Elephas maximus indicus: one gene and its partners. The protein of the gene in region 3 interacts with the protein of the main gene of each other region in a pairwise test. Links are inferred from orthologs where the notes say so. Each region holds a gene or a part of one and is shown on either strand. Other genes may lie near its edges.

What was found.
Region 1: the proteins of TBC1D22B (region 3) and CDR2 interact in binary tests that used the Homo sapiens proteins (3 or more experiments, as listed by UniProt). The link is inferred for Elephas maximus indicus from reciprocal best matches to the Homo sapiens genes TBC1D22B and CDR2.
Region 2: the proteins of TBC1D22B (region 3) and HSD17B14 interact in binary tests that used the Homo sapiens proteins (3 or more experiments, as listed by UniProt). The link is inferred for Elephas maximus indicus from reciprocal best matches to the Homo sapiens genes TBC1D22B and HSD17B14.
Region 4: the proteins of TBC1D22B (region 3) and DEUP1 interact in binary tests that used the Homo sapiens proteins (3 or more experiments, as listed by UniProt). The link is inferred for Elephas maximus indicus from reciprocal best matches to the Homo sapiens genes TBC1D22B and DEUP1.

The regions. Positions count from the first base shown.
Region 1 is NC_064830.1:82,439,136-82,446,803, reverse strand, and holds the start of CDR2 (cerebellar degeneration-related protein 2), read left to right. Parts: upstream 1-4,665; 5' UTR 4,666-4,939; coding exon 4,940-5,018; intron 5,019-7,668.
Region 2 is NC_064829.1:99,266,616-99,274,491, reverse strand, and holds the start of HSD17B14 (17-beta-hydroxysteroid dehydrogenase 14), read left to right. Parts: upstream 1-4,861; coding exon 4,862-4,949; intron 4,950-5,616; coding exon 5,617-5,655; intron 5,656-5,921; coding exon 5,922-6,004; intron 6,005-7,039; coding exon 7,040-7,106; intron 7,107-7,876. Other genes in the region: PLEKHA4 (pleckstrin homology domain-containing family A member 4), read left to right, coding at 1,617-1,778, 3,248-3,491, 3,850-4,112. UniProt on the Homo sapiens protein: Catalyzes the NAD(+)-dependent oxidation of L-fucose, yielding L-fucono-1,5-lactone, which rapidly converts spontaneously to L-fucone-1,4-lactone. Can also act on D-arabinose and L-galactose, with lower catalytic efficiency. Does not use NADPH.
Region 3 is NC_064819.1:100,950,722-100,958,382, reverse strand, and holds the start of TBC1D22B (TBC1 domain family member 22B), read right to left. Parts: upstream 3,008-7,661; 5' UTR 2,772-3,007; coding exon 2,716-2,771; intron 1-2,715. UniProt on the Homo sapiens protein: May act as a GTPase-activating protein for Rab family protein(s).
Region 4 is NC_064825.1:27,651,975-27,659,921, forward strand, and holds the start of DEUP1 (deuterosome assembly protein 1), read right to left. Parts: upstream 3,015-7,947; 5' UTR 2,825-3,014; intron 2,705-2,824; 5' UTR 2,427-2,704; intron 2,393-2,426; exon of another isoform or gene 2,256-2,392; intron 2,226-2,255; exon of another isoform or gene 1,565-2,225; intron 1,085-1,564; 5' UTR 1,041-1,084; coding exon 1,012-1,040; intron 1-1,011. UniProt on the Homo sapiens protein: Key structural component of the deuterosome, a structure that promotes de novo centriole amplification in multiciliated cells.

The DNA of each region.
Region 1 (7,668 bases), on a different chromosome or scaffold from region 3:
CTAGTTGCTCTCCCCCTAATGAGACTGCACACTTCTTCTCTCCACCCTATATTTCCATGTCCATTCAGCCAGCTTCTGACACCCTCTGCCTTCTCATCTCCCATCCAGACAGGAACTGCCAACATAGTCTCATGTGTCTACTATACCCAAGAAGCTCACTCCTCACCAGTATCATTTTCTATCTTATAGTCCAGTCCAATCCCTGTCTGAAGAATTGGCTTTGGGAATGGTTCCTCTCTTGGACTAACAGAAGGTCTGGGGGCCATGACCTCCGGGGTCCTGCTAGTCTCAGTCAGACCATGAAGTCTGGTCTTTTTATGGGAATTTGAGGTCTGCATCCCACTGTTCTCCTGCTGCTTCAGGGATTCTCTGTTGTGTTCCCTGTCAGGGCAGTCATCGGTTGTAGTGGGGCACCATCTAGTTCTTCTGGTCTCAGGCTGATGTAGTCTCTGATTTATGTGGCCCTTTCTGTCTCTTGAGCTTGTAATTACCTTGTGTCCTTGGCGTTCTTCATTCTCCTTTGCTCCAGGTGGGTTGAGACCAATTGATCCATCTTAGATGGCCACTTGCTAGTGTTTAAGACCCCAGACTCCGCTTTCCAAAGTGGGATGCAGAATGTTTTCTTAATAGATTTTATTATGCCAGTTGACTTAAATGTTCCCTGAAACCAGGGTCCCCAAACCCCTACCCCTGCTACGCTGGCCATTGAAGCATTTGGTTTATTCAGGAAACTTCTTTGCTTTTTGTTTAGTCCAATTGTGCTGACCTCTCCTGTATCGTGTGTTGTCTTCCCCTTCATCTGAAATAGTCCTTGAGTACTATCTAATTAGTGAATACCCCTCTATCTCTCTCCCTCCCCACTCTTGTAACCATCAAAGAATATTTTCTTCTCTGTTTAAACTGTTTCTTGAGTTCTTATAATAGTGGTCTCATACAATATTTGTCCTTTTGCAGCTGACTAATTTCACTCAGCATAATGCCTTCTAGATTCCTCCATGTTGTAAAATGTTTCACAGATTCATTATTGTTCTTTATTGATGCATAGTATTCCTTTGTGTGAATATACCGTAAATTATTTATCCACTCATCTGTTGATGGGCACCTTGGTTGCGTCCATATTTTTGCTATTGTAAACAGTGCTGCAATGAACAAATAGAAAGAGAGCTGTTACCAGGTATATGAGTCTAGGAGCCCATTCACTTTTCTTGTATGGATTCAGCTCAGGTGTCCTGGTAGTTGGTCATCAAATGTGTGGTACAGGCTCTGTCCTAAAGTCTTAGAGAGGCAAGAGTGATTGGTGTAGGTACAGGTATCTGATTACAGCAGGGGGTCATGCTCTGAATAAGGCAGGAGGCTGACAACCTTCCCCTGAGTATCTGTGAGGACAGTGTGTCCCTGTTCCCTGGAGCACACTGGTGGGTGGGTTCTGCAGCCAGACCATGGGCACCCAGTGCTTTTGGTTGTAAGGACTGGGAGGTACCACTTATCCCTGGACCCCTGTCATGGGTGGCTAGTGAATTGGTGGAGCTACCAGTCCTTAAGCCCCTGATGTGGGTAGGTGAGGACCCTGTTTAATAGGCAAAGCGGTGTCAAACTTCAAACATCTACCGCTCCACTGTACCGCTGAAATAGTTGCAGTTTGCCAACAAGGGCCTATTCTCCTGAAATGGGCCAACACAGGTCCACATAGGGATGAAAGGTATTCAAAGTCTGCAGACCGTTTGTGCCTGGATAGGAGCTGCGTCTGTCCTGAGCTCCCCAGCTTAGTGGAGCTGGCAGATTATCTTCTCCCTCAATTGTGAATTTATTACTTCTCCTAGGCTGGGAGAATGGCTCAGAGCATGCAGCAGAACCTGTCTCAGGCCCAGGGAAATTGACAACCACTGAAGCCGGCTTGGGGGCTGGGGGCCCGGTAAAATAAACACAAGTACTTAGCTTTTGCCAAGAATGCAGTTCTTCTCTGGTTCTGGATGTGTGAGTAGGCTGTGTGGCTCACTGTGTCTCCCTGAGGAAACCACTTCCTGAACGCTACCACCAGCCCCACTGTGGTTGCCCCAGGGAATAGTGCCTGAGGGTTCCCAGTGATTCAGGTTGGGCAACTCCTCTCTGTTTGTGAACCATCTCTCCCTTCCCCTGCTGCTCAGTCCGTTTTCTAACTTTGCCTTTGACATTCAGGGCTCCTAGCTTGTCATATATATAACCATTGCACTTGTTTTTTTAGGTGTTTGTTGTAAGAGTGATTCCCGGAGACGTCTGACTACTTTGCCATCTTGGCCCTGCCTCCTTGCCATAGTATTTTCTATCACCTGATACGCATGTGAAAGCTGGACAATGAATAAGGCAGAAGAATTGATGCATTTGAATGGCAGTGTTGGCGAAGAATATTGAATATACCATGGACTGCCAGAAAAACAAACAAATCTGTCTTGAAAGAAGTATAGCCAGAATGCTCCTTAGAAGGGAGAATGGCAAGACTTTGTCTCACATACTTTGGACATGTTATTAGGAGGGAACAGTCCCCAAAGAAGGACATCATGCTTGATAAAGTAGAAAATCATCAAAAAAGAGGAAGACCCTCAACAGTGGATTCACACAGTGGCTGCAACAATTGGTTCAAACCTAGCAATAATTGTGGGCATGGCACAGTACCCGGAAGCATTTCCTTCTGTTGTACATGAGTTGGTATGAGTCGGAACAGACTCAATAGCACCTAACAACAATAACAACTGTCCCCAAGGGTACCTGTATTTTAACAGTATCAGTAACAATGACACCATCTTACATTTAAAAAGGACATTAAATACTTTTTCATAATTTGTTTCTGATTCTCATAACTGTGAGCAAGGCAGAGAGGTAATCCCTCCAGCAAGCCTAAAGAAGCTGAAGACTTCTCTACTGGAACATCTGGGGATAGAACTCCAGGTCTTCTGACTATAGGTCCGTTGTACTTTCCACATATAAAGTAGACTTCCTTAAGGACAGAAGGATAAACAACCTCACAATGGGGAGGTTTTCTTATCCTTGGCAAGACTTCTCCTGAGGGTAATAGCTTACATCCTATGCACTAGCTAGCACTGGCGTTAAGCTCTTAGACAGTCATAGCATCAGCGTGAGATTACACTATGTGAGCAAAGATAGGAAGGTGGAGAGACACAGTAAATTTTAATACCCACAAGAATATTTAGGGTGGGTTTTTGTCCTCATTGAAATTACTGAAGTCTTTATTCATTTGTATAGGACAACAACATAGTTTGAGAATCTTTAACTCCTTCCGCGTAATTTCCCTTATTTTTTAACCACAGTAAAGTGTGCACAGTGACCCTGTAGTACAGGGTATCACTGCCCCATAGGGTTTCCAAGGAGCGACTGGTGGATTCGAACTACCAACCTTTTGGTTAGCAGCCAAGCTGTTAGCAAAGCACCAGCGCGCTCAAGAAAATCCTGTGAAGCCCTTCTCTCTGTAACACGTGGGATTGCCATGAGTCAGAATCAACCGTACGGCAATGGGCTTGGTTTTTTGGGTTTAAGTTCTTCTAGAGATAATCTTTGAATAAAACACTTAAACCTCAATTTTTGTTCCATAAACATAAGATAGTATGTTGACTTCCATTCTGTCAGACGCTGTCTTTCCCTCCTTCTTTCAACTGTGCCTTTTACTTTTACATTAAGGTTGATGAACACTGACTTTCTGGTCTGTCACCCTATATATGTATGGGCTTCTGTTCTTTCTCTACATGATGATGCTAACAGCCGAAAACCCCTGTGCAGCACTTGCTTGTTACAGCATGTCTGTGTGAACAGCGTCCACGCCCTGCCAGCATACTAGTGCTAGGGCTGCATTCTCTCCCCTCCTGGTGCAATGTCATGACCTCAGATGCTTAACTAGTGGTCTACTAACCTTTTATATTCATATGCAAACTGTAATTTTTTTTTTTTTTTTCCTAAGGAGATAGCTCCAACGGCACCTCTTTGCCCAGTAGATTCTCAAGTGGTGCTGGGACGTACTGCTTTACAGGGAGCCAGTAAAATTCCCAGCGGTGTGGGGATGAGTACACAGACGTTAAGGGAAAAAACAGCTAACACTCCGAGGGTATCTTCCTCGGCCTCAAATTCCCGATTGACTCTTAATTTCCCCGCACCAGCGAGGGCAAACCTGGGAGACAAAAGACAAGAACGGGCAGGCCAGGCAGGGACCTGGGGCTCCCGGCCCCCTTCGCGCCTCCCGCCTGCATGAAGACAGCGCCAGACCACCGCCCACTGCTCAGTGCCCAAACTCCTCGCCCTCATGCCCAAGCAGCCTGCCAGCACCCTTCGGCCGCCGCGTCCACTGGCTGACTGGCCGGCCGGACGCACACACAGGAGCAGCCGCCCCAACCCCTCCAGGGACCCAACTACTCCCAGAAGCTCCACTACGCAGAGTGGCGGGCGGGGCATCTCGGCCGCACCCCTTCTCTTTTTCCCGCCTTCTTTGTTTCTTCCGAAGGCGCCATTGGCTGTTTGCCCTTGAGACCGGTCGAGCCGCGGGCAATTGGTGAGACCCGATTGGACTAACTCGCCGCCGCTCGACCGGCTGCCAGCTTGCGATTGGCCGAGGCGCCGCCTGGGGTTTGAATCGCAGCCCCGGTCGGGGAGGGTTCTGCCAAAGTGCCACGTTGGGCTCGGCTGCGGCGCTGCGAGCCGGCTGGGGCGCCAGCCGGGGCCCCCGCTCGCGCCGGGGCGCCGGCCGTTGGGGCCACGGGGCGGTGCAGGCCAGCCGAGAAGCCCATCCGAGGCGTACGCTGCAGGCCGGCGGGTGGCTCTGTTCCGGCGGCGCGGCGGGGCCGGGGCGGCGGCGGGTCCCGCCCGCCGGAGGGCGGCTCTGGCTGAGGGCGGAGGGCCCGGGGCAGCGGCTGAGGCGGGACGGCGGCGGGGACCGCTGCCCCCGGAAGACGCGGCCGAGATGCTGGCGGAGAACCTGGTGGAGGAGTTCGAGCTGAAGGAGGATGAGCCGTGGTACGACCATCGGGACCTGCAGCAAGGTGAGGGCGAGGTCGCCGCGGGTGCGCGGGTGCGCGGGCGGGCGGTGGTCTGGCGGGGGGCGCTCGCCCCGCGGCGCCGAGGGCTGGGAGGCTCGCGGCTTCTCCCGGCTGCGAAGCTGTGACAGAGTTGCCTAGGTGGCGGCAGGGTTCGCGCTCGCCTTGCGTGGAGTCCGGGGGTTCCCGCGCAGCGCGCGGGAGGACGCCTGTGCGAGGGACCCACGGCCGGGCTTTTTGCGCAGTGATAATAGGAATAATCACTAATAGTGCCGCTGAGTGCGCTGTATGCCTCATGCGCAGTTTAAAGCGCTCTCCATGGATTAATTCGTTTAATCCTCCCCGCAGTCCTCGGAGACAGAAAGCGGCACAGAAAAATGTGCCACCCACCTTTTCCAGGCTCCTTACTTCCTGCGGCCCCTGTCTAGGGGTAATAGTCACGCGTCTAGTGACCAGTGCTGAGTGTCAGCTGCTGCAGTTAGTGGTGGGACCACCCTGTGGCAGGAACGGTGGCAAGCCTTCTGCAGACATGCTCTCGTTTAGTTCACACTGTAACTCTACGAGGCAGGAACTTTTGTTACTCCCATTTTCTAGATGAGGAAAACAGAGGCCAAAACAGTTAAGTGCCTTGCCTACAGTAGTGCAGGAGTGTTTTTGAACCCATGCGCTCAGAAGTCGTAGTCATTGCCCAAACCCTATCCCTCTGTCTTACCACCCAGTTTACTTTTTTTTTCTGTTGGGTGTTAATTTTTTTTTAAATGTTTATTTATAGCTCACCAGATACCAAATGAAGTGACTGAAATGTGAAATGGCAGGCACCTTTTTTTTTTTTAACTTCACCTACTTTTTCAATTTGCCGTTCAGCTTTCAGTTAAAAACACATTCCTGTTTGGCCTGCGCTGGATTTCTTGCTGATGCTGCCTCGGGAGAGCAACCTTAGAGCAGCCCTCAATTTGGAGCCAGTGGCCCTTTTTGGCATAATTACTAAGGAGCTGTCAATTGGGAGAATACTTACATGTGTCGGGCACTGGCAAACCCTTAACATACATGCTCACTTAATCCTCCCCAAAACACTATGGAGGTAGAGGTAGAAGTAGACACTGTTATTTGGGGAGCTAGAATTTCATTTCACATTCCAGAGAAAACATTCTTAACGCCTATACTGAGTGGTGCAGTGGTTAAGCACCTTAGGCTGCTAACCAGAAGGTCAAAGGTGGGAATCCACCAGCGGCTCTGCAGGAGAAAGAGGTGGCAGTCAGCTTCTGTAAAGATTAACAGCCTTGGAAACCCAGTGGGGCAGTTCTACCCTGCCCTGTAGGGTTGCTATGAGTCGGAATCAACTCGATAGCAACAAGTCTTTTTTTTTTAATACTGAATAATCCTCAGGAGTTTTTTTCCAGACATCTTCTGTTTCTACAATTCAGTATAAACCCATTTTTTCAGCTCTAAACTACAGTGAAAATTATTTAGTTAATATTAAATGATCATGATGCCTTTTCATGGTAACCATTGAACTTGAGGGGAAAAAAAGAAATGTAGATTTGAAGGACTCATACTTAAAAGAAGAAAATAAAACAAGCATGTCTTCTTTGGGAATGTGATTTCTAAAATCAATATGCTGTGAACAATCACTTAAACCAGAGTAGTTCAACATTACTCTTACACAGTATAACCAAACCTGTTGCCATTGAGTCAACTCCAACTCATAGCGACCCTACAGGACAGAGTGGAACTGCCCCATAGGGCTTCCAAGGCTGTCACCTTTAGGGAAGCAGACTGTCACATCTTTCTCCCCCATAGAGCGGCTGGTGGGTTTGAACCTTTCGGTTAGCAGCCAACTGCTTAACCACTGCACTACCAGGGCTCATTTTATACAGTATAGTCCAAGGTATTTAGCAATGCAGTAGTTGCCATCATGTTCTCTATATCCACAAGACAAATTTGCCTTACATTTTAATAAACCTGTTTTCACATTTCCCCATAAGGATTGATGGCCTAGTTTGATACTTTCTCCAGGATTATTGAGGCAGCCACTGTGCAGTTGCAACATTCCCCTATCATAAATTAACAGTTGGTGGCGTTGTGGTTAAGAGCTACAGCTGCTGAGCAAAAGGTTGGCAGTTTGAATCTACGAGGCGTTCCTTGGAAACCCCATGGGGCAGTTCTACTTTTTCCTTTAGGGTCACTATAAGTTGGAATTGACTTGATTGCAACGGGTTTGGTTTTTTTTTTTCTATAGTCAGAGGTAAATATTTTTCTATCTTGTATTTAGGAAACACAAATCTGTTAGGCAGAGAGGGCAAGGACCTGGTCTGCTCCTTTTTTAAATCCCCAGCACCTAGCACAATACTTGGCACGTAGTAGAAGCTCGATCAGTATTTGGTGAACTGAACTAAAGCACTCACGTAGGATTACTGTTTTCATGGTTCTCTTCTCCCAGCTGCTTAGTCCCCACTGTACTCCCTCCCGCCCCATGGGAGATTGTTTGGAATAACCAGTCGTGATATTTCATATTTCAATCTACCAAGAAGCAAATGAAACATATTGGGGCTATATGTGGAATTCTCTTTAAAATCTCTTTGATCAAAATGAAGTCATCACATCTTCAAGTTCAAGGAAACCCTAAAGGACCCAGAGCAAACTTCCTTAATACCAG
Region 2 (7,876 bases), on a different chromosome or scaffold from region 3:
CTCTGCACAAGGCCAACTGATTAATCACATTAATCATGACGAGTGTTTGGTCAAATGACTGGGAACCATATCCTAGCCACGTTGACACGTAAAATTAACCAACACATCATATGTCTCAGATAAGGATAAGTCATGTAATGGACTCAGAGCACCGAAGAAGCCTTTGAAAAGATAGTTCAGTTGAGTCTGGATGAACTGGAAAAAAAAGGTTTGGCCATGTAGAAAACAGTGTTCCAAGCACGGGGAACAGACTATGCAAAGACACAGAGGTGATGAATAAACAGGCCACCACTCTGTATGGAAAACAAAAAGCTGATTTTCTTACTTGCTTAAGCAAGGTAGATACAGTTCCCCTGAGCAAAGCAGAGAGTTGGTCTCATATAGTGTGGAGTTCAGAAAATGCTGGACTTTCAGAGGCAGGTATGCTTAGGAATTGGTTGTCCTTAAGCTGTGGGAAAGGATCCCTGGTGACACAATGGTTAAGCATTCAGCTGCTAACTGAAAGGTTAGGGATTCCAACCCACCCAGCGGCTCTGTGGGAGAAAGACCTGGCAATCCACTCCCATAAAGATTACAGCTGAGAAACCCTGTGGGGCAGTTCTGCTCAGTCGAATGGAGTCGCTGTGAGCTGAAACCCACTGATGTCAGGCAACAATAACAAGCTCTGGAAGCTGTGTGTCTGCTGCTGGTTGGTTCATTTTCAGAAGCGCTCAGGTCACTGGGGTCACTGGTTGGTTGGCTCTCAGAAGCCTGGTTAGGGAACCAGTTGTAATTGCTCCAATAACCCTATTTAAAATAATTTCTGGTGGCTCTTTGTTATCATGGATACAGAACATTCCATCTTCCCCTAGGACCACGGGAACTTTTTTATTCTCAGCGTGCTTGATGGGCAAAGGATTGGCAGGGAAGCTATGAATTACAATTATTTTGGGAGTAAAACCCAGTGCCGTCAAGTCGATTCCGACTCATAGCGACCGTTTATTTTTTGGGAATAGCTCCTTCTTTATTCCAGCCACGTGGTTCCGCTAGCTGTCAGTGTCGCCTGTGGTCATGTGACTCAGAATTGCCCCAATTGGAGTGAAGCATCCTCTTTCCTGCAGTGATTGGTCCCAAGGTTCCGGGATGAGCTGCAGATCTCAGCTGTCCTCTGGGGGTTTTCTATTACGAGACAGTAGTTAGTTTTCTTTGGTTTTGAGGCAAAGAGAGGCAGTGACAGCTAGAGAGAGCGTATGATGTCATGTCTAAGCTAGAGAGAGCGTATGATGTCATGTCTAAGCTCCCCCCCCAACCTATCCTCTTGATAATTTTGTTAGCCAACAAATCGCATCCCTTCTTTTCTGTTGTTGCTGCTAGTTTAGAGTTTTTTTTGTTTGTTTGTTTTGTTTTTCTGGCACAAGCAACCCAGAGTCCTGATGCTAGAAGGCGAGGAGGCTTGATATGGCCAGGGAAGTGCGAGTGTTTGGCTGGGCTTCCGTTTACGCACAGCAGGGACAGTTACCGTTTTGCCTGTAGGAAGATCCCTCTGGGGTCCTGTAGGGAACAAGACTGGAGGTCCAGGGGTTCGGAAAAAGAAATTGGTAGCCCAAGGCTGGAGTCTGTGTTTCTCGTCTTCCCAGGCCCCCCTGCCCCGGCCCCGGATGAGTGCCCAGGAGCAGTTGGAGCGCATGCGCAGACACCAGGAGGGTGGACGGTCCCTCCCTCACTCCACCACTCCCAGGCTTCTTACTCTGGGGAGGACACTGTCCCCAGCCAGACGCCAGCCTGACCTAGAGCAACGGGTGAGGAGAACAGATGGGGAGAGTGGGGAGATGGCATGGTTCTGGGTCCTCTGCTTCTAGCCTGATCCTCAGTTTCCCTCTTTGTAAAACTGGGATGCTTTCTACCACCTCCTTACCCATAATTTAGTTTCCAGATTCACCCCAACTTTCACCTGTGCTAGTTTGCTTCCCAGCCCACCTGGTGGTGGGTGGAGCAGCGGCAGAGACAACACTGCCACCTCACCAGCGCTTTCTCTTCAGGTTTGGGCCATGGGTCTGGATTCCAAGACCAGTTCTTCTCAGCTGCTATGTGTTGTCAAAGGCAAAATAGTAAAAAATATAAGGAAATTGATTGTTCTCAGTCTGTGGCCATTGGGAGAGCACCCCAGAACCCAGTATCAGAGTGGTTTTCCCACTCTGGTGGTTCTATCTCAGACTTTTATGAAGAGTAGAGTTCACACCTTTCATGTGGGAGAGGAAGGTTCGATTCCCAGTCAATGCACCTTATGTGCAGTGGAGGTTTACATGTTGCTATGATGCTGAATAAGTTTCAGCAGAGCTTCCAGACTAACACAGACTAGGGAGAAAGGCCTGGCAATTTATTTCTGAAAAATAAGCCAAAGAAAACCCTATGAATCACAACAGTCTGATTCTGTGAGTCCGAGCTGGCTAAATGGCAGCTCACAACAACAGACAAATTATAGGTGGAGGGCTTTACAGTTGAGATTGTGCAATCTGGGAGAGTCTCGGACAGTCAACTGAACAGGAAATGTTTAGCTCTGTGTCTAGCTAGTTTCAGGGTGACAAACAGTTTGACTCATCATTTATGAAACAAAGGACGGAAATTTGGAGGGTACGTGTCTGGGCTCAGAGTAGGTAATTCAGAGTCTTATCTAAGTCACAGGAGGCAGGGCACTCTTTGCAGCAAATCATTGCCTGGAACACAAAAAAGTGGAGGGATTTTTTTAACCTTCACTCTTCCGGAAGCGCAGGCGTCAGGTAAAGGTTAACATTGTCAGTGCCTTTCGGCTATTTTATCTCCTCTCTGAGCCCCTTCTCTTTACCCTCCAAATGAGGACATGGGGCTTCCAAGTGAAGAATCCTAATGCCCCGATTCCTTCCCAGCCTGCCGTAGACTCCTTGGGACACTCGGGAGCCCCGAAATGGCTCAGAAGCTCCGGGTCCTGGAGTAGGTGAGGAACTGGAGGGCAGGGCAAGGGAGCAGGGAAATTAATTTGCCAAAGGGGAGGGAAGCAACATTATTACTAAAAGCACCCAACTACAGAACTACACATTGCAGAATTTTAGAGACGAATGAGTTCCTGGGATGCGTGAACCAAAATCAGAAAGCCCTAGACCCGCAGTGAGAACTGCAGTTTCCATTACATCTTGGTGGCTGTCAAACCCTGCCCCTCCTTCTAGGAAATCTGGTAGATGGGACTACAAATCCTATAATGCATGTGGGCTCATGTGGGAAGCGCCATGTTTAGTTTTTTCAGAGACACGTGTTTGGGACTACGACTCCCAGAAGGACTCGCGCCGCACTGCGGTCCTCACTATACTGGCTAATTGCACATACTCTCCCCACCCCCGCCGTCCCCCCAACTTTCCTTCGGTCTAGCCCGAGGAACACCAGGCCTTACTTGCCGACATCCGACGGTCACCGGGAGAGGGTCCTCAGCCTCTCCCAGGCCCTGGCCACTGAGGCGTCGCAGTGGCACAGAATGATGACAGGTGAGGGTTTGGGGGCCTTGCACTTCTGGGTTTTAGGGAAGTTGGAGGCCTGGAAGCCTAGGTCCTGGTGAGCAGGGGCTTGGAGGCCGCCAGGAATCATTTGTTTTGGTGAGGGAAGGGCGGGGCAGGACTTGGGACTTCTAGGTCCCAGACAAAACGGGAGTGGGGTCCGGGGATCCAGGCTCTGGGGGGAATGGGGATCTGAGGGAGGAGGGCTGCGGGCTGCGAGCCTGGACTCCAGGGGCTGAGGGAGGAGGGGCTGAGGGGCCGGACTCCTGGGTCTGAGAGGAAATGCCTGGGGATCTAGACTCTTCGATCGAGAAGTTTGCCATTCTCATGCCTCATTCATCCTCTCCAGGTGGAAATTTGGACGCCCGGGGAGATCCTCTTTCCCCTGCGCCTCCGCCTCCGTCAGACCCCACACCCCGGGTTACCTTTCCCCCAAGATCTCCTCCCGTGGCTAATTCCCGCACCGCGATGCCCTCAAGCCCGGGTAGCGGGCGTAGCGTGGGCCCCGCCCCTTGGGAGTCCACGTGGCAGTCTGGTATTGCCCCTCCCGCCCTGACCTCGGCCGAGGGGGCGTGGCCTCTGAGAGTCACTCTGCTGCAGTCCAGCTTCTGACCCAAACGTCTGTCAATCGAAGCGCGGGGTGTGGCCTGGAGATACCGCCCAGAGATCTAGAGCCAATCAAGGCTCCTGGGGGTGTGGCCTGAGTCCCACCGGTAGCTAGGAGAGCGTGGTTTCCGCAGCCAAAAACTTGTTTTCCCGACGCTGTCCAAGTTTGAATTAAACTTTGAACTTTTAGTGAATAGCCCTTTTTTTTTGGTCTGTTTGGAATTGTGACACTGAGGCTTCTGAAGGAGCAGAGCGGGAGTCCTGGATTGCTAGGTTCCAAGGGAGGAAGGGACTGACGGCTCCCACTGCAGGGTGTGAGGAACCAGAGAGAACGGGACTTTTAGATCGGAGGAGGGAAGGAGCCGGGGTCAGAGGAGGAGGGGGCTGGGAGCCGGACTCCTAGGTCTGGGGGAGGAGGGGGCCAAGGTCTCGGACTCCTGGGTCTGAGGGAGGAGGGGGCCTGGACTCTTGATCTGAAGGTGGAGGGGGCTGGGTGCCGGACTCCTAGGTCTGGGGGAGGAGGGGGCCAAGGTCTGGGACTCCTGGGTCTGAGGGAGGAGGGGGCCTGGACTCTTGATCTGAAGGTGGAGGGGGCTGGGGTTGAACTTCCCAGGTCTGAGGCTTTCCTGGCACCGCCCCTGGGGCCGGGCTTCAAGATTCAGCCTCTATTTAGGACTTGACCCCGACGGCCTTAGGGGACTTCGGAGGTGGAAAGAGGCCTGGAGTGGCAGACAGAAGAGACTAGCTGACGCGGAATGGCCACGGGAAGGCGCTACGCTGGGAAGGTGGTCATTGTAACAGGGGGCGGACGCGGCATCGGAGCCGGGATCGTGCGTGCCTTCGGTGAGTTGGGGTCTGCGTGCTTGGGTTTGGGGTTCTGGGAGAGGAGCCCGGGGGCTGATAGGAGTGGGAGGAAAGGACCCCAATAGTGAAGTCAAGACTCTTATAAAAAACCAATTTTCATGCCATTAACTGCCGTCGAGTGGATTCCGACTCATAGCCACTGTGTAGGACAGAGTAGAACTGCCATATAGGGCTTCCAAGGAGCAGCTGGTGGATTTAAACTGTACACCTTTTGGTTAGCCGCCGATCTCTTAACCACTACTCCAGCAGGACTCCTCTAATTTTCAGGCTAAGGTAGGGTTTTTCAGTGGTAGCCTGGGGCTTGAGATTTTGAGATCTTTCTGTTGTCTAAAGGCAGCTCCTCCCTTCTTGGGATCTCGGGTATTAGGGCTGCAAAACAGGTGGCTTGGGGAAGGTATCTCTTGCAGGCTTAGGGTTGACTCTGGAGCCGGGGACGGGGGCCTGGGAGCCCTTAGCAGGCACCTGGAGTAGCCTAGCAAAACAGATGTTGGGGCCTTTGCCCTTTGTCCCAGAGGATCATCATGAGACTTGAGTGTCACGAGGGGTGGGAGGGCTGCTCGGCCCTCTCTCCTGGTGGCCACAAGGGGGCAGCAGAGGCTTTCACCAGGTCTGTGCTGGGGTAACCTGTTCCCTTTCCTCTTCTCAGTGGAAAGCGGTTCCCACGTGGTCATCTGTGACAAGGATGGTGAGTGAGAGTCCCTCAGTCTTTGCCCCCAACCTTTCCTCCTTCAGACCCAGGAGCCTGAGCCCCCAGTCTCCTCCTCCTTCAGATCCGAGGATCCTGGGTCCTGGCCCTCTCTTTCTTCAGACGTGGGAGTCCAGACCCCTGGCCTCCTCCTCCCTCCGACCCAGGATTCCAGGCTCCCAGCCCCCTCCTTCAGAACCGGGAGTCCCAGCCCCCTACTCCCTCAGATCCAGGAGTGGAGGCTCACAGCCCTTCTCTCCCTGCAGAGTGTGGGGGCCGGGCCCTGGAGCAGGAGCTTCCTGGCACTGTCTTCCTCCGCTGTGATGTGACTCAGGAGGAAGACATGGAGGTGAGTGCATTTTCTATCCACACTCCCCAGCTCCAAATGTTACCATCTTTCTCTGTCTCTGCCTTTTTTCTCCTCTGAGCTATTGTACCTGCTGTTCCTTCTTCCTTTCCCTTTCCTTCTCTCCTGGTTATCTGTCCTTTGTATCTGTCCCAGATGATTCAGACCATGTCATTTTGCCCAGAGACTTCTTCTGATTCTGCCGGCCAGATCACATGTCCCTTGAGTAAATTCTGTTTTCTTTGCCACATCCTAAAGGCTCTTACCACACCTGTCACATGGTTGAGTTCCTCCAAGTGGTCTCCTTCTTAACAGTCCCTGCCTCCATCTCTGGATTCTATCCCTTCCCTCTAATCAGTATCTCTCTGGGTCTCTGTCCCTCACTCTCTGGGTCTCTGACCCCCTCTCTCTGGGTCTCTGTCTTCCTCTTTCTTTGAGCCTCTGTCCCCCGTCTCTGGTTCTCTGTCCCCCTCTCTCTCTGGGTCTCTGTCCCCCTCTCTATGAGTCTCTGTACCCCTTTCTCTATGGGTCTTTATCCCCCTCTTTCTGGGTCTCTGTCCTCCTCTCTCTTTGAGTCTCTGTCCGCTTGTCTCCCTCTCTCTCTGGGTCTCCGTTTCCCTTTCTGTCTGGGTTTTTGGCCCCCTCTCTTTCTCTGGGTCTCTGTTCCTTATCTCTCTGGGCCTCTGTCCCCCTCTCTGGGTCTCTGTCCCCCTCTCTATGAGTCTCTCTGTACCCCTTTTTCTATGGGTCTCTGTATCCATCTCTCTCTGGGTCTCTGTCCCCCTTTCTTTCTGGGTCTCTATCTTCTTCACTCTGCATATCTGGCTACCTCCCAACCAGGTCTCATTCCTTCTCTCTGCATTTCTGAAATGACACTGCAGTGTGGCCATAAGTACCCTCACATGCCTGATTACCCTGAAAGAGTCTCACCCTTTCTCTAGCTCCCCTCCCTGCCTTGCTCTTAGGATCCTTGGATCCCTCCCCCCTAGGGGCTGGTACCACAAGCTGTTCCCTCACTGAGTGTCTCTTTCTCCCCAGGCCCTAATCTCTGAGACTGTCCGCCGTTTCGGCCGCCTGGATTGTGTGGTCAACAATGCTGGCTACCGTGAGTTGTGAGGCCCCAAGGCCAACCTGCCCTAAAGCCAGCTCACCTCCTTTTACCCTCCCCTTCATCCTGCACTGCAGTTTCCCCTTTTTCTGACCCCGATTCCCTCATCCTCCTCTATACCTCTCTATGTCTTTGGGCAGGACAATACAACTATGGCATCCCCCAGGCTGGGGCTTTAATCCTGACTCAGTTTCATTCTTGCTGTGTGCCCCAAGCTGGTGTCTTCACCTCTCTGTGCCTCAGTTTTCACATCTCTAAAATGATGTCATTGGGGGTTCAGTGGTAGAATTCTTGTCTTCCACGCGAGAGACCTGGGTTTGATTCCCAGCAAATGCACCTCGTGCTCAGGGACCAGCCACCTGTCAGTGGAAGCTTGCGCGTTCCTATGATGCTGAACAGGTTTCATCAGTGCTTCCAGACTAAGAAGGAAAATCTGTTGCTCCGTTTCTGAAAATCAGCCAATGAAGATCTTATGGACACAACAGTCTAACCCGCAACCGATCATGGGGATGGTGCAGGGCTGAGCAGCGTTTTGTTCCACTGACCCCACGTATTGGCAGGGAATCTAACCGCGTCTCCCATATAGAAAGTGAGAATTCTACCTTGAATCACCACTGTCCCCTGTTGGGGATTTAGCAGTGAACAAAACAGAGAAAACTTTCCTGCCTCTATATGGAATTCACATTCTAGAGTGAGGAACTAGACAATAAAACACCAGGATATGATAGGATGTCTGGGGCGATGCATACTGTGAGAAAAATAAAGCA
Region 3 (7,661 bases):
CTTGAAAACATTATGTTAATAAAAGAAACCGGTCACAAAAGGCCACATATTATATAGATCCCATTTCTATGAAATGTACAGAATAGGCAAATTTATAGAAACAGAAAGTAGATTAGTGGTTACCATGGGCTGGAGGGAGGAGAGAATGGGGACAGACTGCTAACGAGTTTGGGGTTTCTTTTTGGGGTGATGAAAATGTTCGAAGTTAGTGGCGACGGCTGCACAACTCTGAATACACTAAAAAAAGCCCCCCAAAAAACAAAAAAACCCCACTGGATTATACATTTTAAAAGGGTGAATTCTATGAAATGTGAATTTTATCTCAATAAAGCTTTTTTTTTTTTAAGGGTCTTAATTCATTTTGAACTTAGGTTATTTTTATGAAATAAAATTCCTATTTGTTGTCATTAAGGTCTCTGGGTCATGATGCAGGAAACTGAAAGTAAGCTGCCATCACTTTGATTTTGTAACTTTCAATTTGCAAATAAGAATAAACCGGTTCACTTCTAGGTTGCACGGACTACTACCCGGTCATTTGTGCTGTTTCCCACCTAGGAGAAAGTTGGTCTTCACTACGGCCAAAACAGTACAAGTGCAAAAATCTATTCTTGAGAAAATGCCCTAACATTTTTACTTAAGACAAAGCACCTTTCCTAAAAAAGCCTTAATTTTCTCCCATAACCAGGGGCTCTTGAGGCTTCCCTGCTAAAATCACAGTGCTGAACAATGTTTCTCTTCAACATTCGAGGTAGCAAAAACTATCGTGAATTGTGGCAACGTTTTAATGCCTTAAGAATAAACAATGAAGACAAACTAGTATTTACCTAGTGTGAGAAATATTATTTTAAATGTTTACTTGCTCTAGTAACAGTAATATTAATAATTACTATTACTGAACAACTATAATGTGCTAAATAAACATTGATCTAGGTTCTTTACAAATAGACTATTTCATTGAGTCCTCATGATAATCCTTAAGAAGCTATTTTTATCTGAATCTCATAGATAACAGATATCTCAGTAAACTGAGGCCTAGAGAGATTAAATAGATTATTTGTCCTTGGTCCCAAAGGTAAGTAAGAGAGCCCAAACAATAGCCCAGGTCTTTTTGCAGTTAAATGTTCTTTCCTCTATGCCTCCATATTCCTCTCCGAAACAAAAAGGGAAGCCAGAAACTTGAAAAAACTGAAAGAAGACTCTTCTTCCTATCTCACAAAAGTAGTGCTTTCAAAAAGTTGACTGTTCCTAGAGTCCAGTAAAGAAAACATGGAAAACAAAAGATCATCAAAAGTAACCAGTAGTCAGTAGGCACAAAAGAACCATGCCATGTCCCACATCTCATATATTCCTTCCTGATTTAACAGTTTTCCCATGGATTCTAATTATTATTTTAGGATGTCAAAATGTAATGATCTCACTATGGAAAACCCCCAAACAACTGGCAGTTGGCACAGCTGGAGAGCTCACGACTAGACAGGGAAGGAAAAGGGAATCAGTTGGCAGGAAGTGGTGCTAATCTAAAAACATCAAAGGTCTTTAGCATTAACACTGTAATTCCACAGCACTTTAATCTGAACCTATCTTTGCATTCCCTTGTATTATTTTAATACTGTATTACTAAAAAGCTGGCTCCCGCATTATTCTCCATAGGTCTATTAAGATCCTATATAAAATAGGTCCGCTATACATAAAAAAAAAAAAAATTTTTTATATATAGGTACCACTGACCTTCATTTCTCTCTTGCTAAAAGTCACAATTTCAAAGGATTATCCCAGAGGGAAACGGCTAAATCAACTAGGAAAGGTGGCACGTGGGCACAACCAAACATGAATTTCATCACCAGGCAGACGGTGGCTGGCAGAAATCCTAAATGCACAACTAAAACACATTCCTCCTTATACTTTCAGAACTGTGCCCAAAACAAATTGAGACTGTAAACCAACAGCAGGATGATAGATGGGCAATTGCTAAAAGCCTCAACATACACCAAAAAAAAAAAAAAAAGTAGCTTAGAAGGTCTGCTCTTCAACTAAGCAACTGAAATTGACAGGATTTGGTACATTTGTACAAGCAAGCATTACAGCACAGGAGAGGATGAGATCTCTAGGGCTGGCCAAATCCTTGGGAAATTCTAAAGAAATAGTCCCGATTTTGGGGTCACCTTGTAATAATTCCTAATGGGAAAGGGCCAACTCAAGATAAAGTAAGATCTGGTTGGAGAATTTTGCCCCCGAAGGCGGCGCCAACAGAATCTTTGGAGAACCCAAGTGAAAGATTCGTATGTGTCAAACTGAGGGTTATCCCAGGAAAGGGGCCGTCCTCGTGCAAGCAACCACCTGTGTGGAGACCCCCGAGAGGGAGTTTTGTTTAAAGTGAGAAGCAACCCTCCGAGCCCAGAACGGACTCTGGCTACTCACCCAACTCCACTGCCCCTTAGGTCCGGTCTCTGGCCACCTCCTGACTGAGGACAGCCTCTCCAGAGACCTCCGACCCCAGATTCTGCTCTGCTCCCACACACAGCTGTCCCCCAAAGCTTGCCGCCCGTTCCTCTTCCTGACAGCTGCCCTGCAGCCACAGGCGGTCCCCGCTCCCCCACCGGGATTCTCCAAACCAGCCATCCGGAATCTGCGACGCCCCAGGCCCGCGGGATTTAGACCGTAGGATCTGGAGGAGTTTGGTCCAGTCCTCTCTCCCTGTCAGCGTCCTGGGCTCACCTCCCCGGCAGCTTGGCGTTCCTTTTCCAAAACTGCTTGCTGTTCTCGGAGGCCATTGCTCTGGCCCGGGGAAAGCGTTGTAGGCGGGCCGTGGGGGAGCCGGCGAGACGCCCCCAGGACCCCGCAACCGGAGGGCCAACCCAGGCCGCTTCCCTGCCGCGGGTCACCCGCTCCCAGCTCTTGGGGGCGCCATCTTGGAAGTGGGCAACCCCTTACCCAGCGCCGCTGCCATTGGTGGGCTATGCAGGCTGTAAACGGGAGAACCAATCGAAAGCCAAAATCCTGCAAGCTGCTGAAGCCGAACGTCAACGTCAGGGACCGGGCACACAGGTGGACCGGGAAGGCGGAGCTTGGACGAGCACGGAGGCGGAGCTGAAAGTTCCTACCCCTCAGGAGAAGCAGGTAAAGAAAGGGACCTATTGGAAGGAAGAAAGGGTTCCCTTTTCTTTGGGGGATGAAGCCTCTTGGGATCCTGAATCTAATATTTCTTGGAAAGAGAGAGCTTGATAATGTATACATAAATCTGTAACCTGAAAGTAAGGCCCTATGTATTGGTTGCTGCCCGTCTTTAAACACCTGTCAAATTCCCTTCCCCCTTCCTTGTTGGGTTTGGGCTCTGCTTTTTTTTTTTTTTAATCTGTGAAGGAGGATGATACAGATTCTATAGCCTAGAGCTGCTAACTGTCCAACTTGTGAGTAACGGCTGGTTCTGCACGGAGTATCCCCGGCCTCTGTTAATTGAATACTTGTGCTGTGGGTGAAATTCAAATGACCTAATAATCCCTGTTTCAATCAATAACTTACTATAAGAACCCAGATGCTGACAAACAGTGTATGGGACAGACTAGAACTGAGCCATAGGGTTTCTAAGGCTGTAAATCTTTAAGGAAGGACTGCCACATCCTTCTCGTTCAGAGTGGCAGGTGGGTTCCAACAGCTGACCTTTAGGTTAGCAGCCAAGGTCTTAACCACGGCGCCACCAGGGCTCTTCAGTTCAAACTACCAGGTCTTATTTCTTGCTAAAACATAGTAGCTCTCCACGGTGTGAATCACAAAGATTAAGGATGTACCTCTCCCCCTCCCCCACTTAATTTCTCTTATTACCGGTTAAAAACCGTTGTCCATTCCGAATCACAGAGACCCTATAGGACGGAGTGGAACTTCCCCATAAGGTTTCCAAGGAGCGGGTGGTGGATTCAAACTACTCACCGTGTGGTTAGCAGCCAAGCTCTTAACCACTCTGCCACCAGGGTTTCGATTTCACTTACTAATCTAGTGTAAATCTTTCACCCTTAAATTCATTGTCAATCTAATTTTGGCTCAGAATGAGATTTAAAATTAGCTTTTTAAATCCTTTAAATGCCTTTTTGATATTTTGCTCTTTTTAAGTTTCTGTGGTTGTATACCATGGTGATTTACAGAGGGTGGGAGTGAGAAGTAGTTTTTGCCCCAACAAAGATGTTCTTTGCCTCTTTGAAAGTAGAGACTTTTGAGGCAAACCGGTTGTCCCTTCCCCACCCATATTTTACTGCTACTACATGTCCTAGCACATGTTGGAACTTACTTAAAGACCTTCCCCCTCCCCAAAGAAGTACATTACCCCCATTTTCAAGCTTCTTTTGTCTCTTAATTCCAGAATTAAGGGATTCTTGTATGAAAGGAGCTATTTTTACCCTCTCCAAATCTTTGGTCCTTTTACAGACTTTCATCTTATCTTCTCTCAGATAGTCACCTTTATGGGCTTTTAATTCATCACACAAAAGGCCCTCTTTTTTTTTTTTTTTTATCATTTTAGCTGCCTTTCTAGGGCTCTTTTCTTTCTTTGGATGCGGCGAGCAGCACTGCACACTGAGCCCAGAGATGTGTGTCCTGAGCTTTTGTTGATGCTGATGTTTTCCTTTACTCTGGACATCCAGAACTTTTGCTGGTCTTTCAGACTTTAGAAGAGCTGATGTCTTGAAGGAATGATCTACAGAGACTTCTAGATTGCTTTCCTTGGTGGTAACTGACAGTTCAGATTTCATTCTCTTAAAGATATCATCTGCATTGTCTTTCCCTACGTGAGCCCCCTTACACTTGTCCACAGGGTAAGACACCTGCCTCTTTCCAGCCTACTCACATGGCTTTAGAAATGTTCCAGAAGAAGCTCCCTATTGACCTGATATTTCGCTATGTGGAAAGCAGAGTATAATTTGTATACCTAGACATGTCTTAAAGTATTCCTTTTTCTTAATCGTTTATGAAATGTTACATAACACTGATTCTCAGGGGATGCTGTTAACATTGTTGAACCCAGAGAAGCCCTTATTATTTCTATTCATTGTCTTCTACATCTAAGACAGTTTCAAATACAAGACAAGAAAAATCCACCCCAGCATCCTGGTGCATAAATTTTTAAATAGTCTTTGGTAGGAAGGTCAAGAATCCCTGGACCCTTTCTCACCACCACCGCCACGACCACTCAAACCTAAACCAACCACATCTTTGCTTGAACCTTTATAGCAGCTTCCTATTAGGCTGCCTGCTTCTACTGTAGTTTATCCTCCACATAGCACCCAAAGAAAACCTCTTAAAATACGGGTCAGATCATGTCACTCCTCTGCTCAAAACCTAGTAATGGCTCCCATCACCGTTGGTATTAAATCCAAATTCCTTAAATGCACTACATGATGTGGTGCCACCCACCTCCAATCTCATCTCATTCAACTCTCCTCCCTGCTTAATCTGTTCTAATCACACTGGCATTTTTGCTGTCCCTTGAACACTGCCTACTTCAAGGCCTTTGCATTAGCTGTTTCCTCTGCTTGGAATTCTCTTTTCCCAGATATCTGAATGGCTTGGTCCCTCATTCCATTCCTGTGTATTCCCAAATGTCTTCACCTTGGAGAAGACTTCCCTGATCACCCATCTTAAATAGTAGGCTCCACCTACTCAGTTTTTTTTTTTTTTTAAATAGTGCTTTTTTTTTTACTATCTGCCATATCATGTACTTGTTTTTTGTCTGTCTCCACCCACGAAAAGCAAACTCCACCCTCCCCAGGCAGGGACTTGGTTTTGTTCTCTACTATATTCTCATCACATAGATTAGTATTTAGCACATCCAAACCAAACTCATTGCTGTTGAGTAGATTCTGAATTATGGCAACGCCGTGTGCTACAGAGTAGAACTGCTCCACAGGGTTTTCTTGGCTGCAGTCTTTAGGCAAGCAGATTGCCAGGTCTTTCTCCCACAGAACCACCGGGTGGATTCAGACTACCAACCTTTTGGTTAGCAGCCGAGCTCTTGACCATTTATGCTACCAGATCTCCTTGTTTGGCACATAGTGGGTGCTTAATAAATATCTATTGAGCTAGAAAACAGAGAGTGTAAACAATTCATGTCTTCTATGTTGTTCATATACATTTCTGGTTGGGAGTGATTATGAAAACCATGTTTCCTAACTCCTAGTAGGATGTGTCCATTTACCAAAGATTCTATAAGCTCGCCCATACCCTTTTTTGAAGAACAGTCTTACACACTTAGGAAAAAGTGTCATTTTCAAACCCTTTTGCAGCTTCTGAGAAATGTCTCTGTACCTAGAGTGATGAGGGAGAGAGGCCACACACCTAACCAGGAGATTAATCAAATCGACCCTGCCCATCAAAGGGGAGATAACTGTGGCAGCCAGATCACCCTCACATCAAGTTTTGCCTAACTAGAGGTAAAAATCACTAGTTTGAGGTTCCCATGGGGTCCTTAGAGCCCTTTTGATGGAGGTCCATAGTGGCAGGCACAGACTGGTCCACTAGACCAGTGTTTCTCATCTGTTAACGTACATATGCATCACCTAGGGAGCTTGTTAAAAGCCTAGATTCTGATTCAGTAAATTGGGGTGGAGCCTATAATCCTGCATTTCTAACAAGCTCCCAGGTGACACCAATGCTGTACATCTGTTAATAGCACTGTATGGCTCCGTGATGAATTTATCCCAGAGGTTTGATTATTTTGAAGCTATACGTAAAGGACTCTCAATGTTGTCTGCCTGCAGGTTTTCACCTTTCCCCTCCTTAACTTCATCTTCATTTATAAAGGGAGTAAAACAACTTTTGTTGTTGTTAGCTGCCGTAAAATTGGCCCCCAACTCATGGCAACCCCACGCACAATAGGACAAAATGCTGCCTAGTCCTGTGCCGTTCCTATGGTCAGTTGTAGATCAGACCACTGTGATCCGCTGGCTTATTTTCAGAAGTAGATCACCAGGCCTTTCTTACTAGTCTGCCTGAGCCTGGAAGCTCCACTGAAACCTGTTCAGCATCATAGCAACACATAAGCCTCCGCTGACAAAGGGTGCATTGGCCTGGAATTGAATTTGGTCTCCAGCGTGGAAGGCAAGAATTCTATGGGACGAAGTAGAGTTAAGAGAAGGAGATATGCAGCGGCTGAATGTGGACTAAAAAGAGGTGGGGCTATCCCACGCCGCAGGGAAATTTTATGGAAAAAATAAGCCCTGAGTGGGGACACACAGGAAAAAAAGAGAAAGACCTGAAGAATAGTATGGAGGTTGTTTTAGAGCAGAGGCTCCATGGGGAAGATAAAAATAGAGAAAAAAGCTTTTGGACTTACAAAGAGGTCACAGGCAGACTTTAACTTCAAGCAGTGAAGTGGAAGGAAGTAGACACTGATGAGGAGAAGGGGTAAGAATTCAAACAAGAAGCAGCCCTCACAATGCACTGCAAAACGTTAGGCTGCCAGAGGGATGGTGGGGCCAAGCTGGGATTTAAGAACAAGAGAGCTTTTTCAGTACCTAAGCAACCACAGTCATTGTTGTTGTTAGTTGCCATTGAGTGGATCTGACTCATGGTGACCCCATGTGTTACAGAGTAGAACTGCTCTATAGGGTTTTCTTGGCCGTAATCTTTACAGAAGCAGATCACCAGGCCTTTTCTTCCTTGGCATTGCTGGGTGG
Region 4 (7,947 bases), on a different chromosome or scaffold from region 3:
GAATATGCAGTAGGAGTAAAAAATTGATGCTATTATTATCCAGACTTGGGCAGTTTTCCTTTAGCCAGACGTTAAAGCAGGTCTGAGTAGAAAAGCTAAAAGTTAAAGCAGGTCTGAACAGAAGAGCTAAAAGTGAGACACCTCAAGTGGCTGACTAGAGCGAAGTCAGCCACGGTCAAGATCAGTCACTACAGTAACATCCCCACTCACCTCCACCCCTGGCTCTGGGATCAGCCAGTGGCCAGTTGGCTAATGAAACAATATGAAGAGGAAACTTCGTGGTGCTGGTGGCAGGGAAGTAGGGACAGATATTTACGAAAAGGAATTTGGTTAAATTTCTATGATAGGGGATGCTATACAAATTCTACTCCTTAGCTCTCTATGAAATTTTTGGTTTAATATCCATCCTTGTTTTGTGGAGTTGGATCTATTTTGGGGTTGTGTTGAAGTGCTGAGTTGAGTCTTAAGTGCAAGAGTAGAGGGAAGTGTGGGACACCTGGTGCAGCAAGACGGGAGCAAAATGGCCAGGAGGTGCTGCACTGTAAGAACCGAAGAGTGCACGAGGCCAGCAGTGTCAGTGCCCTGGGCGTAGGCACCCATCACCCAAGACACCAGACAAAGTCGCTAAAAGTTGGAAAGCTGTGATTTTCAAGCGCAGATCCACAGATCACACTATAGATTCTTAATTATAATCACTTGAAATTTCCCCCCACCCTCACCAAAAGTAATTTCCACATCCTTCTATTAATGCTGGAAACCCTGGTGGCATAGTGGTTAAGTCCTACTGCTGCTAACCAAAAGGTCTGCAGTTCGAATCCGCCAGGTGCTCCTTGGAAACTCTATGGGGCAGTTCTACCCTGTCCTATAGGGTCGCTATGAGTCGGAATCTACTCAACGGCCGTAGGATAGTAGGTAGGCTATTAAAGCTAAATTTTAAAACTCATGTATCACCAGGGAGTTTTTGGCATTGTTAAGTGTCAGCTTATTAAACAGAAGTTTCTTAGCACTTACCCCATTGTATTTTGGGCCTGGTTCTCCATGTTGAGAAGCTGCTGAATCTGGTTTATGGTTCTTGATTTTTAATCTGTTAGGAGAAAAAATTATCTAGAGTCCTAAAACGCTTACATTAATTAACCCACAAAATATGAACATTTTGCTATCAGCAAACCATTTGAGGTTAGTTTTTCTGAGCGGAGTAGCTCACGATTCTACAAAATGTTGAAATTTGGGCTTTTTTTGGCAGGGTGTCCCATGCAGCTATGATATTGATTAATAATAACTTGAAATATGTGGTACTGACTGAAATGAGCGCTCATTCACTATTTATTGAACAATAGCTCAGCACCAGGTACTATGCTCAGTACATGAGGATGAGTAAAATAGAATCATTACTCAAGAGGAGCTCCAGTTGGATATTCACAAACTTTTCTTTCATGTGGATCCCCTAAATGGTTTACCTTTGAGCAAATTCTTTCTTTAGTCCTTTCTGAGTTTTGCTAGAATGAATATACTACGAAATTTAGGACAAAAAAGGTTAAGAATTGCCTAAAAATATAAATCTTACCATTCCTCAATGGTTCCATGGGCACTGGCACATCCTCTTGACAAAATAGAGATATCAGTACTTGCCTAAAGCAAAAGATTTTTCCCAGCAACAAAGTTTTAGTGAAAAATAATCTACGAGGATAAATGGACAAAGTATTGAAAAAGGACTTCAACTCCTCCGCATCACTGAATAAAAGTCAGTCAAACAGCAGTCGAAGTAGTAGGATGAGGAAGAAGGCTTCGGGCTCATTCCACTATCAAATCAAAGGAAATTAAGAGAAGTCCTGGAATTGTGTGTGGAGGGGTGGGGCAAGGGGTAGGGGCAGTGAATGGAAAGCTTGACCAGGATGAAGGGATGAATGATTTTGTAGGCTCTCAAATCCCTCAGTTTAATGTCAGGGAAACTGAGGCACAGACATACTAAGTGACTTGTCCATGGCCACACAACCAGAACCTAGGCCTTCTAACTCAGGGAGAATCTCTGCTCTGGATTCTGCAAAGGCGGCTCTTATATCCCTCGGTCCTACCACCCGCTGCGCTGCCCAGCCTTGACCCCGACCCCCGCCCCAACCCGCGCACAGCTCAGGCCCAGTCTCCCCGGAGCAGCCGGCCTGTTGGGGTCCCCCCCCCGGCAAGGGTCACCCGCGCCTGACCCGGGGGACGAGGGTCAGATCGCGAAGCGAGACCGGGGAGGCCTGGGGCCGGGTTACCTGCGCTGCGCGGCGCCCGCCGGAGAGGTCTGAGGCTCCGGGAGCAGGAACGCCTGGGCCTCCCTCCCGCCCCGCCTCGAGGGCCTCGCCACCCGCCGCCGCGCTCCCGCCGTCCGGGCTCGCCCGCCGCGCGGCCGCCTAGGCCGTTGCGGCCTCTCCCGCCCGGCTTACCGCGGTCCGCCGCTTGGCTCCTGGTTGCCATGGGGACGCGGCCCGAACTCGCGGCCGTCGGGGTGGGGGTGGGGGTGAGGGTGGCAGGGAGTGCCCGGCGGAGGCGCGGGCGGATCGGCGGGAGGCGGTGGCCGCGGGGCGTCTCGGGCCGCGCGAAACTTCAGCCCAGGCGAGTGCGACCTCGCTGCCCCGCTGCTGTGTGGCTAGTGTCAGCTCGCTAGACGCAGAGCTCCCTGAGAGCACCTTCTGAGTCATTTTTTCTTTGTGGCTTCCAGTGCCTAAAGCAGGGACCGGCAATAAACAAGGGCTCAGAAAGAATGAAATAACTAAGGAACAAAGAGTAAACAGCTGGGGGTTCCGCACTCAAGTTCCTTAAATTTCCCTGACCGTTCTCTCACCTGTCCCAAACTGAAACGTGATCAAGGACAGAGTGAACAGAGCTGGCTTTTTCTCTTTTCACCAAAATGTCTTTCAGCCCGGAAGGGCTGGATTTCCTTAACTGTGTTGCTTAGTCCACAGTACTCTGGTCGCGGTAACTGCAGCATTTGTACCTGTCTTTTTTTTTTCCCACTGGGTCCTTAGAACAACTCTGCGTGTTGGCGAAGCAAATAGTATTGTCTCCCATTCAAGGAGAAGGAAGTAACTGCTAAGTGGGGGGACCTGGGGTGGAACCCAGGATGACTGATTCCAGATTCTTTCCTTTTCCACCAAATTCCAAGAGTGATGATACAAGTGCTGTCTCACTGTCTTGATTTCACATTTCACAGCGGAAATGACAGGAAATAATGTCATAGCCTGTAGCTATAACATTATCTCTCAAAGCTAACTTTGAGAGATTTTTTTAAAATAATTTATTTTTTGTTGTTGAAAATATAAACAGCATTTAACAATTTCTACAGGTACAATTCGATGACATTGATTACATTCTTCAGGTTGTTGTCACCCTCCTTTTCCAAATTGTCCCTCCCCCATTAACATAAACTCACTGCCCCCTAAGCTTCCTATCTAACCTTTACTGTTGTTTTTGTCAATTCGATCCATTTAGATAGTTCTTTAAAAGAGCACAATACTCAAGGCAGACATTCTTTACTAATTAAGCTAAACTGTTGTTTGGCTTAAAGAAGACTTAAGCGCTTGGATTTTCTGTTTGAAAAATATTCTTGTATCTATTTGAGGAACAGACTTCCTTTCTAATACATCTAGCTGATTAACTTCTAGTCCTTAAAATCTTTTATTTGCACTCTACTTTCATAACATTAACATTAATTTGCTATTTAATATGGTTATCAATTTAATATCCTCCCACATTCCTCCATCCAGGTTCCATTTCAATTTCATAAAACCATTTGCTGCTTCTTAACAAATTGAGTCTCATAGATGAACTGTATAAAGTAACTCAGGTTATTAGTTTTAAATAAGTGTTTCATAGCACATATGTTATGATTGAATGAAGAGAGTGATCATTTCATCTTAACATTATTCTGAAAATCCTAGTCATGTTCTTTTATTCTTTTGTAAACTAAATGGATCGATGTATTTTTCTTGACCCGAGGAAGAAAAAATGGAACTTGGCAAGGGCTGTTAATGAAGTTTCAGGATGCCCAAGGTCACTCGTGCTTGTGTAGCTCTTTACTATTGGTCAGTATTTTCACATTCATTATTTCCTCAGGTGCTCAAAAGTACTCATGAAGCAAATGTAACAGGTGTTATTAGGAAACCAAGGCTTAGCAAGAATAAATGATTTGTCCAAGATGATATATCTACTTCAAGTGCAGCTAAGATACGAACCCAGGTCATATAACACCAAATCTACCAAAATCAAACCCACCGCTGTTGAGTGGATTCTGACTGATAGCAACCCTATAGGACAGAGTAGAACTATCGCATAGGGTCTCCAAGTCTGTAATCTTTATGGAAACAGACTGTTACATCTTCTCCCATGGAGCGGCTGGCGAGTTTGAACCACCAGCCTTTCAGTTAGCAGTCAAGCACTTAACCACTGTATCGCCAGGGCTCCTTACTCCAAATCTAGTGCTCTTCAAACTCTGTCTAAAAAATAAGTTTGACAATAAAAGGAACTATGAAAAGGAAATCAGGAGAGCAATACCATTTATAATAGCTCCTAAAAAAGTAAAATACTTAGGAATAAATCTAAGCAGGGACATAAAAGACCTATACAAAGAAAACTACAAAATGCTGCAAGAAACCAAAAGAGACCTACATAAATGGAAAAATATACCATGCTCCTGGATAGGTAGACTGTGAAAACTGTCAGTTCTATACAAAGCAATCTACAAATACAATGTAATTTCGACATAAATACCAACAGTATTCTTTAACAAGATGGAAAAACTAATCATCAACTTTATATGGAAATGGATGAGGCCCCGGATAAGTAAAGCACTACTGAAGAAGAAGAATAAAGTAGAAGGACTTGCACTACCTGACCTCAGAACATACTATACAGCTACGGTAGTCAAAACAGCCTGGTACTGGTACAATGACAGACACATTGACCAATGGGACAGAACTGAGAACCCAGATGAAAACCCATCCACCTACAGTCTCCTGATCTTTGACAAAGGCCCAACATCCATTAAATGGGGGAAAAGACAGTCTTTCTAACAAATGGTGCTGGCAAACTGGGTGTCCATCTGCAAAAAATGAAACAGGATTCATGCCTCTCACCACACAAAAAAACTAATTCAAAATGGATCAAAGAACTAAGTATAAAACTCGAAACTATAAAGATCATAGAAGGAAAAATAGGGCAAATTCTAGAGGTCCTAATACATGACATAAACCATAACTAAGAACACACAAACACCAGAAGGTAAGCTAGATAACTGGGATCTTCTAAAAATTAAACACTTATGCTCATCAAAAGACTTCACCAAAAGAGTATAATGAGAACCTACAGATTGGGAAAAGAAATTTGGCTACGACAAATTCAACAACGGTCTAATCTCTAAAATCTCTAGGAAAATCCAACATCTCTACAACAAAAAGACACCTAATCCAGTTAAAAAATGGGTAAAGGATCTGAACAAACCACCAAAGAAGACATTCAGGCAGCTAACAGACACATGAGGAAATGCTCAAGATCACTAGCCATTAGATAAATGCAAATCAAAACCACAATGAGATACCATTTCGCCCCAACATTACTGGCACAAATCCAAAAAATAAAAAATAACAATTGTTGGAGAGGCTGCGGGGAAATTGGAACTCTTATGCACTGCTGATGGGAATGCAAAATGCTGCAACCATTTTGGAAAATGATACGGTGCTTTCTTAAAAAGCTAGAAATAGAAATACCATATGATTCAGCAACCCCTCTCCTAAAAATATAGCCTAGAGAAATAAGAGCCGTCACATGAATAGACATATGCACACCCATGTTCACTGCAGGATTATTCACAATACCAAAAAGGTGGAAACAACCCAAGTGCCCATCAATAGATGAATGGATAAACAAACTCTAGTACATACACACAACGGAATACTATACAACATGAAGAACAATGATGAATCTGTGAAATATCTCATGACATGGATGAATCTGGAGTGAAATAAGTCAACCACAAAAGGACAAATATTATACGAGACCACTACTATAAAAACTCATGAAAAGGTTTACACAGAGAAAGAAACACTTTTTGATGGTTATCGCGGGGTGGGGGGAAGGGAAAAACACTAAATAAACTATATATAAGTGGTAATTTTGGTGAAGGGTAAGAGAGTACACAATACTGGGGAAGCCAGCACAACTTGACAAAGGCAAGGTTTTTGATGCTTCATAGACATATCCAAACTCCCTGAGGGACCAAATTACTGGTCTGAGGGCCGGGGACTGTGGTCTCGGGGGACATCTAGCTCAATTGGCATAACATAGTTTATAAAGAAAATGTTCTACATCCTACTCTGGTGAGTAGCGTTTGATGTCTTAAAAGCTTGTGAGCAGCCATCCAAGACACTCCACTGGTCCCACTCCATTTGGAGCAGGGGAGAATGAAGAAAACCAAGGACCACAGCTACCATAGCTTCCTCCAGGTTGCGTCCAGCAAAACTAGATGATGCCTGGCTAGTGAGCTTGACTGCTTTGACAGGGATCACAATAGAGAGTCCTGGACAGAGCTGGAGAAAAATGTAGAACAAAATTCTAACTCACCAAAAAAAAAAAAAAAAAGAAGACCAGACTTATTGGTCTGACAGAGACTGGAGAAACCCTGAGAGTATGGCCCCTGGACACCGTTATAGCTCAGTAATGAAGTCATTCCTGAGGTTCACCCTTTAGCTAAAGATTAGACAGACCCATAAAATAAAATGAGACTAACTGGGCACACCAACTCAAGGGCAAGGACGAGAAGGCAGGAGTGGACAGAAAAGCTGGCAATGGGGAACCCAAAGTCGAGAAGGGGAGAGTGTTAACATGTCATAGGGTTGGTAACCAAGGTCACAAAATAATATGTGTAATATTGTTTAAATGAGAAACTAATTAATCTAAAGCACAATTTAAAAAAAGTTAAAACAAGTAAGGTTGATATGTAAGGATGGTTCAACTTTGGAAAATCAGTCAACGCAATCCACCACATAAATAAAACAAAGAATAGGAGTCACATGATTATCTCAATTGATGCAGAAAAGGCATTTGATAAAGTCCAACACCCATTCATGATAAAAACTCTCAACAATATAGGAATAGAAGGGAAATTTCCCAACATAACTAAGGGAATATATACAAGACCAACAGCCAACATTATTCTCAAGGGAGAAACACTGACAGCATTTCACTTGAGAAAGGGAATAAGAATGGATGCTCTTTATCACCACTTGTATTCAATACTATACTGTAAGTCCTAGCTAGAGCAATAAGGCAATAAAGGGAAATAAAGGATATACAAATTGATGAGGAAGAGGTAAAATTATCCCTATTCACAGGTGATAGGATCATATACATAGAAAATCCCAGAGACTGCACAAGAAAGCTACTGGAACTAATCCAAAGATTCAGGCAAGTGGCATGGAACAAAATAAACAAATAAAAGTCAGTTGGAGACAGAAGGGGCCACATAAACCAGGGACTACATCAGCCTGAGACCAGAAGAGCTAGATAGTGCCTGGCTAAAACCGATGACTGCCCTGACAGGGAATACAACAGAGAATCCTTGAGGGAGCAGGAGAGCAGTGGGATGTAGACCTCGAACTCTCATAAAAAGACCAGACCTAATGGTCTGACTGAGACTAGAAGGACCCCAGAGGTCATGGTCCCCAGACTTTCTGTTAGCCCAAGACAGGAACCATTCCCAAAGCCAACTTCAGAAAGGGATTGGACTGGACTATGGGATAGAAAACGATACTGGTGAGGAGTGAGCTTCCTGGATCAAGTAGACACATGAGACCATGTGGGCAGTTCCTGTTTGGAGGGGAGATGAGAGGGCAGAGGGGATCAGAAGCTGGCCAAATGGACATGAAAATAGAAAGTAGAGGGAAGGAGTGTGCTGTCTCATTAGGGAGAGAG